Linked DNA regions of Schizosaccharomyces pombe. Changing the gene in region 1 together with any one later gene gives a genetic interaction. Each region holds a gene or a part of one and is shown on either strand. Other genes may lie near its edges. The genes, in order: fbh1, rad2, rad55 and dbl2.

Evidence for each region.
Region 2: mutations in fbh1 (region 1) and rad2 are lethal when combined (synthetic lethality), as found in Schizosaccharomyces pombe (3 studies listed by BioGRID, with this or other methods).
Region 3: of fbh1 (region 1) and rad55, a mutation in one rescues a mutant of the other (synthetic rescue), as found in Schizosaccharomyces pombe (2 studies listed by BioGRID).
Region 4: of fbh1 (region 1) and dbl2, extra expression of one rescues a mutant of the other (dosage rescue), as found in Schizosaccharomyces pombe (one study listed by BioGRID).

The regions. Positions count from the first base shown.
Region 1 is NC_003423.3:2,731,376-2,736,632, reverse strand, and holds fbh1 (DNA helicase I, ubiquitin ligase F-box adaptor Fbh1), read right to left. Parts: upstream 3,424-5,257; 5' UTR 3,338-3,423; coding exon 1,528-3,337; exon of another isoform or gene 1,488-1,527; coding exon 661-1,487; 3' UTR 549-660; downstream 1-548. Other genes in the region: SPOM_SPBC336.16 (uncharacterized protein), read left to right, coding at 3,717-3,932; SPOM_SPBC18A7.02C (seven transmembrane receptor-like protein), read left to right, coding at 4,420-4,488, 4,542-4,620, 4,672-5,257. UniProt on the Schizosaccharomyces pombe protein: Involved in ATP-dependent DNA-unwinding in a 3' to 5' direction, and ATP-ase activities stimulated by the single-stranded DNA-binding protein ssb1.
Region 2 is NC_003424.3:5,389,038-5,392,948, forward strand, and holds rad2 (FEN-1 endonuclease Rad2), read right to left. Parts: upstream 2,386-3,911; 5' UTR 2,225-2,385; coding exon 2,212-2,224; intron 2,143-2,211; coding exon 2,052-2,142; exon of another isoform or gene 1,875-2,051; intron 1,867-1,874; exon of another isoform or gene 1,671-1,866; coding exon 632-1,670; 3' UTR 549-631; downstream 1-548. Other genes in the region: SPOM_SPAC3G6.05 (Mpv17/PMP22 family protein 1), read left to right, coding at 1-54, 119-216, 286-358; SPOM_SPAC3G6.07 (uncharacterized protein), read left to right, coding at 3,236-3,613. UniProt on the Schizosaccharomyces pombe protein: Structure-specific nuclease with 5'-flap endonuclease and 5'-3' exonuclease activities involved in DNA replication and repair.
Region 3 is NC_003424.3:2,065,938-2,069,526, reverse strand, and holds rad55 (DNA recombination mediator, RecA family ATPase Rad55/Rhp55), read left to right. Parts: upstream 1-1,612; 5' UTR 1,613-1,762; coding exon 1,763-1,778; intron 1,779-1,822; coding exon 1,823-2,859; 3' UTR 2,860-3,085; downstream 3,086-3,589. Other genes in the region: SPOM_SPAC3C7.04 (transcription factor), read right to left, coding at 1-763; eisosome BAR domain-containing protein Pil2, read left to right, coding at 3,523-3,589. UniProt on the Schizosaccharomyces pombe protein: Required for radiation resistance and meiotic viability and acts in recombination and recombinational DNA repair pathways.
Region 4 is NC_003421.2:308,313-313,425, reverse strand, and holds dbl2 (DNA recombination protein Dbl2), read right to left. Parts: upstream 3,113-5,113; 5' UTR 2,888-3,112; coding exon 740-2,887; 3' UTR 531-739; downstream 1-530. Other genes in the region: SPOM_SPCC736.02 (uncharacterized protein), read right to left, coding at 1-243; qns1 (glutamine-dependent NAD(+) synthetase), read left to right, coding at 4,945-4,973, 5,018-5,113.

The DNA.
Region 1 (5,257 bases):
ATAGACACTTGTCAACAAAAGGAATCTATTCATATAGACGGGTAGTCACCCGTGATTATCAACAAACGGATCTTAACTAGTATTCCAACATATGACATATAGTGACACGCAACGTAGTGTAGTATGCTGACACGCTAATAAAGGCAAACGACCTTCGGTACCTTAATTCTAATACAAACTGTTTATAACTGCGTTATATTGTTAGCAAAGCCACTTAACGAGAGTATCAAAAGTTTGTTTTTTGTTTATTTAGCGTTGCGTGGGAATTCAGATGATGGGAAGTAATTTCTTGCTTGCTAGTTTTTGAAATCATCTTTATGTATGTTTTAGGTATAAACACTTAATTGGGTCATCGACTCACTTAATAGGAATCTTTTAAAGCACAAATATAACTTGATCTTCTGTTTATTTACACGAAGGGTTATTTCCATGGCTTTCTGTGTGTAATACTACAACTACTTTTAACTCTAACATGGAAAGTGCAGCGACAGATTGATATGAGTTTACGTTTATAAGCGAAATAGTAACATAGCTCTATAATGAAAATGTCCACACGAATATACATATTATTAAATGATTATATATTAAAGGTTGTAATAGCAATAGTACATCAATCAATATGGCTAAAATAGATTTTAAAAGAAACAAATCAAATAGTTTCTACTGATCATGTACAGCAAACAATTGATTTTCAATAAATAGCATCGATCTTTTAAGCCGTTCAGATGTATTCGCAATATAGTTCTGCCAAGCGCCTGAAAGAACTCCAAAAAATATATCCCATACTGATTTCTCATTTGCTTCGACCAAAAGATTGTATCCTTCAGCAGGGGTTTCATAAAAAAAGCTAAACTTGTCAATCTGCCAGTCGACAAAAAGAGCAACTTTTCCAGGTTGCAGCTGATCTTCCGTTAAAATGCCACCAGCAAAACGAACAAGTCCGCACTCTAATGCGTATAATTTGGTTATAGTGTCATTAAGGATAAGGCGTTTTTTAGCTCGCGTAAGAGCAACATAAAGGATATTGATTTCCTCTTGCAAGTACCTCGAAGATCCAATTCGTGAAAAAGAAACACTATCAAATTTTGGTCGAAAATCATTACCCAATTGAACATTATCCCATTCAAGACCCTTAGATTGATGTGCTGTTGCCAAAATAATACCGTTGTCACCATCGTCTTTAGAGTCCATCAATCTTTTTTCACAATTGTCCAATCGGCTCAGAAAGCTTTCACTAAATAATTCGTCGGCCATATCATATACTAAAGCCAATTCGGCATCTTCTTCGGCTGAGTTTTTTACGTGCACTTCAAATTCTCCCCAAGAGGAAAAGTCTTTTAACTTTGGGTGCGAAGGGCGCTGCCCATGCGCTAGTTCTGAACCACTTCGCAAAAGTTGGAATGCTTTTTTCCTCATTGAGCCAAGAATAGCAATGGGTATCTCCTTAGGTAATGACACTGATAGCCGAATCGATTGTAGGATTAATTCTGTATACGTTAGCTTTTATCAATATAAACCATTGCAAACCTTTATTAGTGCGAAAAATAATCGTATGAGGAAAAAATCGAAACGCTCCACTAACATTGTTGGGATTACTTGCTGAAGACCAATACGCATGGTCATTTTGTACCCCTTTAAGCTTAACGTTCTCTCCCTTTAATGAAAGCAAAAAATTTGCATATTTTGCAACAGAGTTTCCAAACCGGAAACTCTTAGTAAGGCACAGTTGCTTTGTGGAAGGGTACAAATTTTCATTGAAAGCACATGCATTTGCACCACGAAAACCATAAATGCATTGGTGTGCATCCCCAACGATGACAATTCGGGCGTGTTTCTGACGATAAATAAGGTCGACCATACACGGAGTAAAATCTTGAGCCTCGTCAAAAAGAATGTAGTCATATTTTGAAAAAATATTAGGGAATTCATACAAATGTAATAATTTCATATATGCATCAGGTATGAGAGGAGCATGGGTATATTCAAAGTTTACAATAAGAGACCACAATTTTTTTGTATAAGCCAAAAGCTTCTCTTTAGAGAGTTTTGTAACTTCCAGGCTTCTTTTACTTATATGACGAAAACCAAGCTGCCAGTCAGTGGAGTGCATGAACCTATTTAATGTAAACATGATATGAGAAGCTACCAAGCTAGCGGATGGTGTACCCGGATTATTTTTCCGATTTGCCTTTGGAAATGCAACTTGCAAAGACAAAAGTGAAGCTATAGTAGAATTTGATAATTGCCGCTCAAGTTTAGCTTGCGGCAAATCGGCCTGTGCAAGTATAGCACCATAAGCAAGACCATGCATGGTGGAGCATTTGACATTAAATGGAAATCGTAATTCTGCGTCTTCTTTTGCGGCCTTGTTAAAAGCAACATATAAAATTTTATCTTTTGGACGAGACTTGGCAAATTCCAATAATGCTTTGGTTTTGCCAGTACCAGCGAATGCTTTAACTTTTAGAACCTCTCCTGGGTTTAATTGACATTCAACAATCATTTTTTGTTCAGAGGTAAGGCCCTTAGTGTTAGGTTCATCATAAGGGGATTCAATGACAGCTACAATGTTGTGAATCCTAGTACACGAAGTAATTAGTGTTTGTGAAAGTGGGTCACGATAATGTTCATAATCTGTGCGGACTACAGTAAAGATAGAGTCCAGAAAATAAGCAAATTCTATAGCGGACGTTGAAGATAGCATATAAAGCGTATTGAAAAAATACCACAAATCATCTTCAAATAGTATCCCTACGAACAAACTTAAAAGCAGATTGCTAGTAGTAGTCCTACTTTTTAGAGAAGATATAGCTTCTCGAGCTGCAGGGGAGAAAAAGCTTTGAACCTGCATGCATATTGAGCTTATCCATTCTAAAGGAACATCATCTATGTGAAAAAAAGATGCTTTAATAGAACTTCCAAGATGATCAACTGTATGAGTCTCACTGACAAGATGGTCAATAGCATGTCCAATTTGTTCCACTTTCATAGGACCCGGGGGAAGCCCACAAATATTTTTTATTTCATCTGATTTACTATAGTATTCTCTCTCAGCTGGTGTGGATGAAATTTGGGTGCCATTGACAAATCCATTCATCGCTGAGCTCGAAACACCAGCAGCATAAGAACCACGAAGCAATCGATTTCGACGAATTCGTAACTCATAATTTTTCTTTTTCCAAAAAAGGTCATTAGAAGAGTCTAAAATAGTTTGAAAGGATGGGAATACACGTATGAAACTTTGGATATCCTGAACAGAAAGAAACCTGCAGATCAATGGGATAATTTCAAGTGGCAGTCTATAAAATTTGCAGCTATGTAAATGTTGAGCACTCATATAACTAAGAATTTGCTGACTGGGTGCTTGACTGAAAAGAAAGAACAAATTGCATTAGAAGAATTGCTTGTTGGTTGGGTATGTGCAAATTTAAGAGTAGTAAAAATACCAGAACTAGTTTATGAATGAGCAACGAACATTAAAATAAATCCAATCTTTTAAAATAAAATACATTCCTTAACCTATATAATTATTTCTCTCCGAAGCATGCTGTCGTTACAGAAATACTTTAACCATCTGCAAATTGAAAGAATTCCCATAATTTCTTATGTAAAAGTAAGTTTCATTGAATAAATAATTAACTCAAAAAGACTCTATTACTTTTTGTGTTGAAAAAATCCTCTACTTTATTTTGTAAATTGTAATTTTTTATTAATTGATGTATCATTCTTATTCTCATGATTTAACTAATTATTTATATAATTATTTCTCATCAACGACCTCTTGGTTGGTTTTTATTATACTTTCTTTAGACACTATAAATGCCACGTTTAGCAATATCACTTTTGTTGATATTTTAATGGAAACCGGTTTCACCAAAAATAGAAGTTTAGACCAGACAACATGCGGTATTAAATTCGGCTTCGTCAACTAAATTTTTTTCTACACCTAGTCTATTTATTCATCAATGCTCTCAATTTATTAAATGAAACCGAATAGAAGGATAAATCCTCACAATTTTCTTTAATTGCGGAAAATACATTTTACGGTTGGTAATTTCTGGGCCGATAACAAAGAAAGAATTCACCAGTAGTCAATGATGTTGATCCTTAGCGAAATTCAGCAAGTCAAGCAAAATTGTTTATAGAAAGAAAAAATTAATTAAAATGTTGATGTCCAGGCTCGAATCAACACCTTTCTCAGCTATTTTTTGAACCTTGCTAATCGCCTAACTATAAATAAATTACTATTTATTAAGTAGTCAATAACCTCCACCAACTTCTGAATCTCAACTTTGGCAGATAATCCGTGAATCGGTTTTGGGAAAAAATATTTTGTACATTGATTTACATAACATTGGTATTTAATTTTTGTTCCCAGTCCTTCGAAGTATAAAAAATCTAATGCTCTCATCATAAACCATGAAATTACTGATATCTCTTCTATGGAGTATATTCTTTTCCATAGTTTATTCAGAAAAAACATTACTGGTAAAACAATCAGATTTCTTGCGTATCATTTGCTAACTGCGGCTTCTTGCTAGAATTTCAAGCATTATGAATTGTGCAATGGCATTTACTCGAAATCGGAATCTGGAGGGTCTTTAAATCCAGCAATTTATGGTATGTACATATCTTTTTTTACGCTTTTATTTAAAAAACTTACGACGTTAGTGAATTGGACTGAACCATGGGGTCAAGAAGATGAAGTTGAGGTTTTGATATTCAATTGGAAAGAAATCCGCAAGTTAGGTGCATTCCGTTCTGATGATCAATTCACTTACATTTGCGATTACGATGCGGTATACACGGATCACCTATGTGAAGCCGATCAACTGGGACTATATTTGTGGAACTCAACGTCAGCAAAATCCATTCGTTCTTATATAATTCCGACAAATGCTGACCCTCAAAACATTATATATGAAATCTCTCAGTCAGGTTATTATTGCATTTGGTCTCATTCGAAAAAAATGTTACCTTATCAAGCTCTTGTCAATTGGCAAAATGCGTATGGTGGGCTTCCCGCTTCTCAATTCCCTAGAATGCCTATATCTGGTGGAATCACAATCGCTTATAGTGTAATTCTTGCACTTTGGATGTTTTTCCGATTTCAATATAAACATTCGATTGTTACCGTTCAAAAGGCAATTATGTTCTTGCTAATCTTTTCGTGTGCTCAACAGGCTGTCACTTCTATTGTGTTGGATACAGAAAATTTGAGAAATCGGGGGAACTTCACATGGTTAGGAGAGACTCT
Region 2 (3,911 bases), on another chromosome or scaffold:
GGTTTCAGGGGCGCCTACGATAAACTTCAAGCTGTTTTCTGGCCCACTTTAAAGGTACACTTAATTTCTAAATTTTCTTTCTTAAATGGTTCTGTTGTATTGTTGCTAACATTTAAAGGCTAATTATATGGTCTGGCCCTTCTTTCAAACTGTGAACTTTTGGCTAATGCCCTTACAATACCAAATGCCATTTGCTTGTACGGTTGCTATTTTTTGGTATGTTGTTTCCAAGAGACATAAAGCATTTTTGCTCCTAGTTTTTTCGCCTTTGCTAATTTCAATTAGGAACATATTTCTTAGTTTGAAGAACGCTTCTTCAATGCAAGAATCTGGCTCACAAGAAATTGAACTATTTTAAAGATCTTTGATCCATCGTCCGAATCCACTGCTTTTCGTTTTTTGAGTTGTATCAGCCAGATTGTTTTTTGGCATATTATTACTTAGAAACGAGTTTTGTATACCATTATTAGCTTATATGATCAGAATTACCTCCTTAGACTAATTATTTTTACGTAAAAGTCATGCATTAAACAGATTTACTATTATTATAGCGTAGTATAGTTTTATCTACATGCGTCTTGCTTTTTTTAAGTTTTTTTTTTAGATTAATAACAATTACATGACTTCGTTTTCAACGCTTTTTCTTGCTTTCACCACCCTTATTTGAATCTCTTTTCCTTTTTGCTGATCCTTTGCTCTTTGTATCTACAGGTTTTTTGGGAGAAGAAGGGACTGGTTTAAAAAAGGAATCAAGACGACCCTGTGGAATTGTCTTTGAGGCTTTTTCTAGTCTATTGATCCCCAATTTAACACGATCTTCATTGAAACCTTTTTCCTTAACCAGAAATTGTATAATGCCATCTGCATCGGGACTTTTCCATTTCAACTCAATCTCTTCACCAGGAAGTACTTCTGCATCCAAAAACAGTCTTCTGGCATCTTCATAAGGCCAATCTTCCGGAATAGGATATTTTGATCGATCCGCCTCTTTGACAAAGCGATCGAGAGTCCCGTATTGCCTAATTAACTCGACGGCTCTAGCGGGGCCAACTCCCCGAATAGGTTCACAATAGTCACAACCCAAAAGAATACACAAGTCTACAAACTGCTCCACCGACATATCTAAACCATTCAATGCTTTTTCTATGTTATACTCACTAATTGGTTCCTTTCTTTGCTCACTAAATGTCAGGTGTCTCAAAAGTACAGGAGCTTGGAAGCACAATGTGTCCATGTCCTCAGAAGCAGCAGCATAAACTTTTCCTGAACGGGCTAAAGCGGCACATTGAGCTTCTGCTTCACAGGGTGCGTTAACGAAGGGAATTCCCATTAACTCTAGTAAACGTTTTGCTTCGTCATTATGTTGCCGAGTAACTTTGACCGTACGTTTGGCAAACCGATCCACCATTTCAGCTGTACCAACCTCTTTTGTCTCCTCTTGATCCTCTCGTGCTTTTTGATGTCGGGCCACACGTTTAGCTAATTCCCCTGACTTCAATGTTGGTGGTTTTCCATCAAAGACAAAGCAAGGCTTTATTCCATTATCGACAATTCGGAGTGTACGATAAAACATTCCCATTAAATGACTAGTAGTCTCGCCTTGTTCATTCATTAGCTGTTGACCATCTTGACTGCGAACTTGAATTAAAAATTGATAAAGACTCATTGACCTGTAATATACGAAATTAGCATTAATAAAGTACCTCAAGAAGACTTTATAAATCAACCCTTCGAAAAGGAAAGAATCAGTTGAATAGAGTTTGACCTATTAGTGTTTGCAACTTCAAGAACCAACAAAGTAAAGAAATGATGTAAAATACCTTGAGCAATGAATTTAACCGAGTCACTGTTAGTGAAAATTTATTCATCCTTTATTCTATATTTCGTTTGTATCATATCTTTGTCTCGAGTTAAGACATAGAGCTTTGCTCTTTAGCAATAAAAACTGTACACCATAGTGTTTAACCCATATTTACAAACAAAATCAGAAGCCATACAGTCTTTGCCAAGTCAACTGAGACTTTCGCTTTCTATTTAGTCTTTCAACTTACGCATCTATAGCCACTTTCCGTCCAAAATAATTTTTAATATCATTATGTTTGACACTGGCTGGGGCATGCTCGCTTAGTACTTGAGCCAAACCTAACCCAGATTAGTTTTAAGTAAAGGAGAGAGTAAAAGATAAACTCTTTAGCGTTAAATGTAACATACCTTTAATTCCCATCGTTTAGCAAATATACTTATTTATGTATATTACGAGATCCCGAACAACGCTTTCTCCAAAACTAGCTTAGAGCTTCTTATTAAATTTTCAATTTTTGCTAGATGTATTATACTCCTCAAAATCGAGCAGTTTTTACTTTGCTCACTCACACAAAGGTTCTTAGCTACCAGCAGTAGTATCCACGTCAAAGAGTCGATTCAGTAAATCACATGTTACTTTTCCATAAAGAATGATCGACCAAAGAATGTAAATACAAGGAAAGGGACCAGCCAATTTATACTGAAAATTCCCATGTATTATAGCTTTTAAAAAAGGATTTCTAGAAGGAACAAATTAGAAATTTTAAGATTACCAAATTGAGGTTCTTGTGGTTTTGGTGGCAGCACGGCTGTAAAATGTAAATCACCTCGCAGTTTACTACCACGAAAAGATCTCGAAAAGGTAATGTACCATCAGAAATTCTGGAAAAATGATCGATTCCTTTTTCCGGATAAGGAATAGGATGAAAAGTACATTGGAACTTTACCGAAACCCTATTGACTTGGCTAGATGTAAGTCTGTGTAACATAAGGTTGTTTTTATGAGAATAAACCAGTGGTTTTACGGTACTGAGATACCGTAGTGAGAAAGCCGCTTGAATTGCTCAACGTAATATTTTTAATAGAACAATAGCCTTGATTCATGGAACAATGTTGGATAATAGGCATTTTACCAAGAGAGTATTATTTGAAACTCGCCATATCTGCTACTGAATCGTCGAAAATATAATCGTAACCAGTTTATGGTATCGCTTGTGTAGTATGCAGACAACGAACAATATTGCAATATTCTACTAATAAGGTTCCTTTACCGACGTATTTCGTGCGGATCAAAACGTCATTCTGATCTTACGTTGGCAAATTCTAGTTAATGTCGGCTCGTTGAAAGAATATTATATGAGATGCTGCGCGCCTTGCTTACAGTATACTCATATCCCAGTGCAACCTCAATTTACCTGTGAAAGCAAGAACAATGTCTGAACAAAGCTCGCCATACTTAACATTGGCACCTGCCGATTACGAAGGAGAAGATGTCTCTAATGAAAAGGAAAAAAACAGTGTTATTCCTGATGTTATAGACTATTATAACAAAGGTAGACAATATTACCAATCGTTTGTGGTTTATAAAGCAACTGCTAATACCATTTTCCAATTTTCATATTTGTTGTATATATACATCGACCTCACTAAAGCTGATCAAACCGAAGTGTTACAATTTCTTAAAACATATGTTGAGGATGAATCGTTTGTTGGAGATGATTTTGTTATGCCAAAGTATACACTGGTTTTACCATATCGAGTGTATCGTGATCATGTAAAAAAACATGGAGATATTATAACGCCAAAGTGAAGTGCTAAATCTATTTTAATGTTTTCTTTTGTTTTTAAAGAACTTTCTGCTTGCATGAATCGCTCATTTTATAAGCAAATACCAGTTATATTGCTTCGCTTATTGTTATGATTTTTATGGATTCAAATCTAAAGAGAATTGCTAAATAGTGATTCATTAGTTAAGTTATTTATTTTTTAAAAAAAATAATAAATTCAACAAAATAAATGTAATCCTTTTTTTTTGGATCTTTTTTTCTGCTTCTTTGCTTTGCAAGTATTGAATTTTTTAAGTTTTTTGAATTTTGTAGCTTAGTAAA
Region 3 (3,589 bases), on another chromosome or scaffold:
GAAGACTCAGCGCTTTTTGAACAGCATTTACATCATGTTCATTCGGAGGATAACTGTGATGGGTATGGGAATACGCGCTCAGCTCGGAAAAAGAAGGATCGACAAGTAGTTCACTTTGAACAGAGTCAACGAATGCTTCACCAGCAGAAGCTCCTATATAACGGGATTCGCCGTTAGAGTCAACTTTTATTTTTCCAATTAATTTCATGATTTCGTCAACGCTTTGATCGCTAGCATCAGCATTGATTCCATTGTTCGTATCCTCTGCTACGACCGTTGGATCTTGCTGAATTTGTGAACAAACAAGTGCACCTTGTGTAAGGGTATCCACGTCACGTTGACTATTGGTGCTTTCACTATTGAGGGAAAAGACATCTGAAGATAATAGTGATTTTTGGTTGCTTATACGATTGCAAACTTCAATCAATGAAGGTGTAGTATAAGTCGAAACTTTGGTGGAACAAAGACGTTCAACAATATATTCTAAACACTTGTATCTTTTTGAAAGATCAATAAAGTAGTCCTTAGAATAATCCATTTCTTTTTCATCCTTTACTGGATATGTGCATTCCAAATTATTGGAAGCACAAGCTTTGCATGGGTTTGCCCCGTCGCAACGAACTTTCCGGGCTTTGCAGTTAAAGCAGGCTAGAACCACCCTTCTTCGTCTCTCCATAGGAACACGACGTCTCCTATTATGCTGCTCCTGCTTCATGGCTTCGAACAGAACCGCCGTATTTTCAGGTGAAAATTCATGGCTCATTTTCCCCGTTTATGTTAGTAAAATACCAAGTTCATACCAATTTCCATAAATTTAAAATTCTTTTTCTATATTACAGAATTTCAATTCTGAAAAGAGAAAATGCTTAACTATGGCAATGACTTGGCAGAACTTGATTAGTAAATGCCTAAAAGAAAAAATTGTAGTACCCCAGCTCCTATGTTCTACTGGAGGGCGTAATTTAGTGTAGTGGTACGAACCTTTTTTATCAACGAAATCTAATATATACACATATTATTAGTATATGAGACCTTGTTTATACATAACTTTAAGAAAAAATCTAACCGATTTTAAATTTTTGAAAAATAAATACTGCTTGTATTGTACTTTGAAAATGGGAACTTCCGTCAATTTCTTTTCGTTGACGAGCTTATACGTTTATTGAAGCATGGCATGCAATCGATTTTTGTTAATAATTTTCCATTTTAGTATTTCTTCAATAAAATGAGTATTGTGTACATAGTAAACTAATTGCACACATATCGGTCGACACGCTATTTCATAAACGGAATGTAGTACGAAAATAATAGCTATTTTGATTAAAACCCTCTTGAGTTTCAATACAAATGTAAATGTTGCGTTATATGAACCCAAAGTTTAAAGTTCAAAGTCAAAGGCAGTAATGAATCATAGATTCAAATGAACTTGAGCTTACTCTTGCATTCCTGTTGACCTACCTAGTCAAATTTCCCATTATGTATAAAGGTTACGAATTTGTTACCTTCTAATCTGCTTAACCTTAAGACTAAAATAATTTATTCCTTATAAGAAACAACATTTAATGAAATGATTGCAAAGTAAAACACGTAGGATTTCCTTTGTCGTTCTACCAACACCTCCAAACCTTACAACGTATCGTTGTTTCTCATGTAAAGGGAAATTTTCCTATATCCTTTTTATGCTGTTATCAATTTAATATAAACTGTATCGCTGTTATTCTAGTAGGTCGCACTGTGCTGGATTTAACCTTCATTGAAATAAATGCTGTCTAGTCAACGTATGCGACTTCCAGCCTAGCTAACTGTGTCTAATACTTTTTAGATCGTCTAGTGACTCAACCTGCTATTCGTGCGTACGAAGCATTTTCTGCTCCAGGTTTCGGCTTTAATTCAAAATTATTGGATGATGCGTTTGGAGGAAGTGGTCTTAAAAGAGGGTATATTTCTGAAGTATGTGGAGCACCTGGGATGGGAAAAACAAGTTTGGCTTTACAGATTACTGCAAACGCTCTTCTTTCCGGTTCTCGTGTGATTTGGGTCGAAACTTGTCAACCAATTCCCATGGAGAGACTTCGTCAACTATTAGACAATCACGTCCCTTCTTCCCAAGATGAAGAGGAAAAATGCGATACTGATGAGTTATTAAATCTTCTCGATGTTGTATATGCACCCAATTTAGTGAATATTCTAGCTTTTTTACGAAATTTCGATCAAGAAAAACATCTTAAAGAAATTGGATTATTAATTATTGACAACCTATCAATGCCTATTCAACTTGCATATCCAACCAGTCCAGAAGATTATGCTTATCTACGTCTTCGTCGTAATACCAGCAAAAAAAGCTCCCTTTCAGATTCATCTCAAAAAGAAAACACTTTGACGTTAAACAAAGAAAATGAGTTCTCGAGTAAAGACGACTCGAATTTTGCATTTCATAACTCCTCTACCAAAACAACAATAAACCGCAGAAAAAAGGCAATCGGTACAATCAGTTCTTTGTTAAGCAAAATTACATCCTCTTGTTATGTGGCTATCTTTGTTACCACCCAGATGACTTCAAAAGTTGTTAGTGGGATAGGTGCTAAGTTGATACCGCTTCTCAGCACTAATTGGTTAGATAATCTATCTTATCGGCTCATTCTTTACAGTAGGCATTCAACTGAAGAATCAAAAGATGGACAGAGTCGTCCCTCTCATCAGCTTCTGCGCTATGCATTCATGGCAAAGCAGCCACCAGCTCATTCTGCAGAATCAGAGTTGGCTTTTCAGTTAACATCTACTGGTATTCAGGATTATCAAAGTATTCCTACCAATAGCTCACAACGACGTAAGAGATCCATTTTGGAATGTGAGTCCTAGGTAAAAATGGTGGCTTCAGTTACGAATTTTTTAGCATAGTGATGGTTGTTTTGCCCATATCTATTAATTTATTATACCTATTCATTACGTTGCATAAACAACTATGAATACTTGTCGAGTGTTGGTCAAAAGTTTCTCAATGATTTATTTGTGATCTCATATCTTTTCATAATGTATCATAAGCTATTTTGTTCGTTCATTTTTATGAAATTGCTAATTGTCATAGAGGAGGGAAATGATTAAGATATCTATATGTTTGCTGATTGACAAGTCCTTATTAATTTTCAATTGTTTAGGTGTCGCATTCAGTGTACGGACAATAATGACATTATGCTTTCGACATATAAATTCCATGTTGACATAGTGACGTCTCAAGCCTAGCTCAAATCTTTAAAACATGGGTTCAAGTCGCTAAAAATCTACCTGAACTTTACAGCTCTTTTGTTACTTTCGAAAGTGTAGTCTAATAAGTCCATTTTGAGCCTGACCTTATTTATACTTCGCTTTGTCTAGTGTGAGTTGGCGGATTAAGTATGTTTTAATGAACATTGTTTCAACCTACCTCTAATTAACATACTAACCTTTTTATTAGTATTTCCTTTCTCTTTTTATATATACATATTTTCAAAGTCTTAAATCGTTTATCAAGTAATTAGCAAGATGATGGGCACTCAACCATCTTACTCTATTCATACGCTTCGCGCGCCTCCTAAAGCGAAACAGAATCAAA
Region 4 (5,113 bases), on another chromosome or scaffold:
ATCAATAGGCATGAAGATAGGCGTATTATTCCTTAAAGATAATCGGTGTCTCAAACTACGAGAAGTCACTGCCAAATTCGAATTATTGGATAACAAAAATATTAATCTTAAAACTTCTAAAGGTAAAGACTCAAAAACCGTTAACGCTCTAGCTTTTCCATCAGTCAAATTATTTTTGACCTTTCTTTTCGTAATTTTTTCATTATAGTCATTTTTTATGGTCTGTTTTCGCTTTTTACCCATCTTTAACAAGATTTTTGGAGCTCACCAACAGACACTATTTAGTGCTGAAAAATTTAAACATGTATAGAAAATAAATGACTACAAAAGATAATTTAACTTAAAATATTTACAACATTTTCATAATAACCCAAATAGTTGGTTTTTTAAAAGAAAAGAATAAATCTGATACTTATTTGCTCAAAGGTTCAAAGAAGAAACTCAAGGTTTTGAAAAAGCAATGTATGTGCTACTAAAAAATGAAAATCAAAACCTAGAATTGTACTAACAACACCAAAAACAAGCTGAAATCTAATGTTTAAAAAAAAAAAATTAATTATATGTAAAAGAGCTAAATAAGTATAGCTAAAACCTAAATGAACTATGGAAAAATAAATGTTGATAATAATACATGAAGGAAACCAGAAATCAAAATTCAGTACTGTTTTTTGAATTAAAAATTATATGTAACAAAGTCGGCTTGAGAGAGAAGTTTCAACGTACGAAAGAAAAATTAATTTCAAATAAAGTCACCATCTTCGTCCGAATCGAGATCGCGTCCTTGTGTAGTCATGGCATGCTTAAATTTTAGCATTTTTAACTTTGCCCTTTTGATCTTGCTACTCGTTGAAGCAAGTGTTACTGTATTTACAAATGGCAAATCCGTAATGTTTGACGAAAAAGGCTCAATAGGTAACGAACAAGACTCTTGAAAAGTTGGTAAAATAGGAGATTTCTTTCCCGCTTTAGAAAAAATATCCGGAATTTTGGTAAGTATTTTCGGAGGCTTTTGGTTTTTGCTGGGTGAGAGATTTACAGCTCGAACAGTAGGCGAGGATGAAATGGTATCCGAAGGAGAAGAGTCCGTTTCAATAGCATTAGGAACATTTCCTTTTTTCTTTTGGACTTGGTCCGAAGAAGAAACAGTAAACGAAGGGACATTAAAAGGGCTAGAAAATACCGACACATTTCTGGATTTCGAGTTTTTAGGCAACGACGAATGTTCCCCTGAAGATATTATAGAAGTAGCTCCAAAACCGTCTTTTCTTTTCGAACCATTTGCATATTTAGGATATATCAACAAGCCTGTTCTCAGCGATACACCTGAATGTTTGGCCAAGGAAGGATGTTTGGCATGTTCAAGCACAGTAGAAGGTGAAACGTTAGGATTGACTGCATTGTTGGATTGTAGAAAGATTGAAGAAGAAGCACTAGATCCATTAAGTTCGTTTGAGCGAAGGGACGTGCCTAAGTGAGAGTGACTCCTACCAAACGAGGACGAAGATGCTGGTTTAACTAAAGGAGATGAAAAAGACGGTACACGAAACTTCACGGGTTGAAAGGCTTTTTTGTTGGGCAAAGCCAAAGGTGTTAAAAGAGATGACGAATCTAGCGAAGGAATGTGTTCATCCTCTTCTGATGCTGCATCTAGAAAATCAGGAGAGTTTGGTATTTCATTATCAGTTGTTTCTGTTACATTTTGAAGCGATGCCAGCTCGGCAGCAGTTTTGACACTTCTTTCGTACAAGTTTTTTGAGGGGTCGGTAACTGTGATATTAATAAAGTTTTGTCGTTTCCCCGTGGGTTTCCGAAGCAGAGGTAACGGAAGGCGAGTCAAACGGAGACGTTTAGAAGTAGGACTGGGTTCTGCAACAGAAGAATCTTGTCTTTGATGATCATCATTTAGCCCATCGTTTTTGTTGGAAGGTATGGTATTACAAGCGCGGGAAGAATGAGGAGATCGAGCATGATTATTAGAAACTTCTTCATTTCCATTTTCTAATGCCTTCACGGAGACACTTACGTTATCATTACTTAGGTTTTGTAACAAATGACCAGCATTTGAATTATTTAGAGTGGTAAAATCATCTGCCTCGAGATCGGCAGAAGGGGAAGAAAAAAAGTCAGAAGCTATGTCGTCTTCTCCAAATTCTTCTACAGGATCTTCAACCAAGGTGCCATTAAAAGACTTGGGTTTTGACAAAACAGGGATATATGCAATTTTCGAAGGTTTCGGTAGCGCAGTTACGGATGAGTTAGATGGGGGATAGGGAGAGGTATTGTTAGCTCGATTAGATTCCTCAACAGAAGAAGCTAGATATGAGTTTGGTCTAAACTTAGCTTTGGGTTGTATTTCCGGTGTTACTGACAGTTGATGCTTACTTGAACATCTCAAACTACCAATATCTGAGTCATCTACTCCATAAGATTGCAAATTTGCGTTCCGGAAGATCGTGGATTTTGTTGAATTTGTATGATGAGCGTGTGTTTTTAACATATTTGACGATAAAGCACCATTTGAATTGTTAGATACATCTGAGTTAGCGGAGTGAAATGGAGGCTGGAATGGTTTTAATAAATAAGCTGGCCTCTTCCCTGTCTCACTCAATTTTGATTTCCTCGGTATAGGTGGAATATTCGCTTCAGTAGTTGTTTGTAAATTCTCAACGTAAACAATAGTTCTATTAAATTCAATTTCAGAATCCAGAACAATTCTCTTGTTGTTAAGGAAAAAATCATCTACGACTCGGTTATCAGAATCGTAGAGAATTCCACGATTATTGAAGCTGTGGAAGCGCATTGTCCCATCTTTCCAAACTTTTACTTTTTTTGCTTTATCAGACGTCCACAATACTTGATAATGAAAAACATTGGAACTTGTATCCATAGAATATAAGTTTTAAAGCCTGTAAAGGCAGTTCCGAAAGGTGGCTTACGAAAAGCTTAATATTGTTGAAAAAAACTCACAAACCACCCTATTTAATAATTAATTAAAGAATAAGAGTGAGAATATCTATTTCATGTATAAACCTCATTTGAGCATTAATTGCTCTCGCTTTAGGAATGGGAATTACGTGCTTTTGTTGGATGGTAGTTAGGAAATGGTTGGTATACAGCAGAAAGTTGAAATCTAGGAAAGTAAATGATCTCAAGCCAGAAAATTACATCTTTGTAGAATCCTTAAACAAGGTTTCCTTTTCTTTTCTTTTTCTTTATGAACTACAAACGAGTTGAGCTTTTGGTTATTGATATGAGGTACTTGTTTACACGCCGAAATGATTGAAGGTAACTTTATAATACGCAAGCAGAAGCAGATTATCTCTTGAGATGGTTTCAAGAGAGATGCTTATTTTTATTAATTTTACTAATCTACAAGGTCTAATATTTGATGGGTTTTTCTTTAGTAAAAGGTCTCTTAGTGCCCAAGGAAGCAAAACTGTTAGATAATTTTCAATATCCTGTATCGAGAAACGGAAACAATGGTTAATAATCCCGATTGATAGTTTCATAGGGACAGACTGTGTGTATACATAATGATATATAAAAAAAGATGTCTTTTTTCACCTTAAACCATGAAGTTTACAGTTGAGCTTACAGAGGCAGATTGCTTCAAATATTCGTAATGTAAAATTATTTATCTTGTAAATTTGTATCTATCGTCGCATTATAATAGAGAATCTAAACATAGCAGTTGGAGATAAAACTGATTCTTTTGTTCTTCTATCGCTTTTGAGGTTTGCAGGCAAGAAAATTCATCAAAGATGATTGATGATACGATTAGGTGCAAAAGTACTTATGTTATAATTTTAGCAACATAAAAGGCCTATAGAGGGTAATTCTGCTCGAAATCTTGAACTTGCAATTCTCATCACCATGTCGAAGATAGGTACAAATTAAGTTATTAAAGTTGGTTTAAGCGCACTGATAGAAATTTACCTAAAATTTAGTACTTGGACGAAATTTAGGAGAAAAAAGCCCAAGAAGATGAAGAAAGTTGTTTCATTGTAATAATAAACCTGAAATCTTTTGTCAATTCTAATTAATACCCTTTCAAAAAAGAAGACTGATCTTTGCAATCACTAAAACTATTAAATTTATTGAGCAGCTGAAGAATCATCTGTCTATAATTTGCAACAAGAAGTAACTGAAGGGGAGTTAAAAAATGAGTATCAACCATTATGGCATCTGTCGCTTTGCTTCTTCTTCTTTAAGCTAAGTAATTTCGATTATATGCTCCAAGAACTAAGTATATTAATTAAATCATGAAATATTTTCAAGGATAAAATTAAAACAATTTTGTACTATTAAAAAAATGTAATTACTGTTGTGCGTATTCCAGATATCAGCTTGCTCTATAATCATCAAAAAACCTGTAATTATAAGCGAGTAACACTAATAAAACCAGACAGACTTTAAATCAAAAAATTTCATTTATTAGCTCGTATATCTGAAAAAGATAGGCAAATTTTTTTATTAAAGGAAGTCCCAGAAATGACTTCACTTGAGAAGATATATCGCTAAAACTAGAATTTGTATTGCAATATCAAATAAAAATTACAATTATTCTGATTTTATAAATCAATTTTTAAGCTATGTAGTAATGTACAATTAATACACATGTAGTTAGAAGAGTCGCCAAAATTTGCATAAGAAGTATTAAGGTTCTTTTTACTAATATCAGAGAGGGTCTTTAAAATTATTTAAATTTTCTTTTTCTTACTTAGGGAAACTGGCATTTTTGCTATATGATGCGAACCCTTTATTTACACTTGACTCTACTATGACAACTACCTCCTGCTCTTACTTACTGCCATAACCGTGAATAGACATTTGAATAGAAACTTCGATCTTCACTCATAGTTGGAACTTTTATAGTACGAAAAAAACATTATAAGTTAAATTACTTGTTTGGGAATAAACCTCAAGTTAAGCATTCAGTTCATTATGGAACGATATGTAACCATCGCATCTTGGTATGCTATAATCATTTTTCGTCTCAATGATCTAACTTCTGTAGTCAGCTGAACCAGTGGGCAATGGACTTTGAGGGAAACCGTCTACGCATCATTGATTCCATCAAAGAGGCGAAAAGACAAAACGCAAGCCTTCGTGT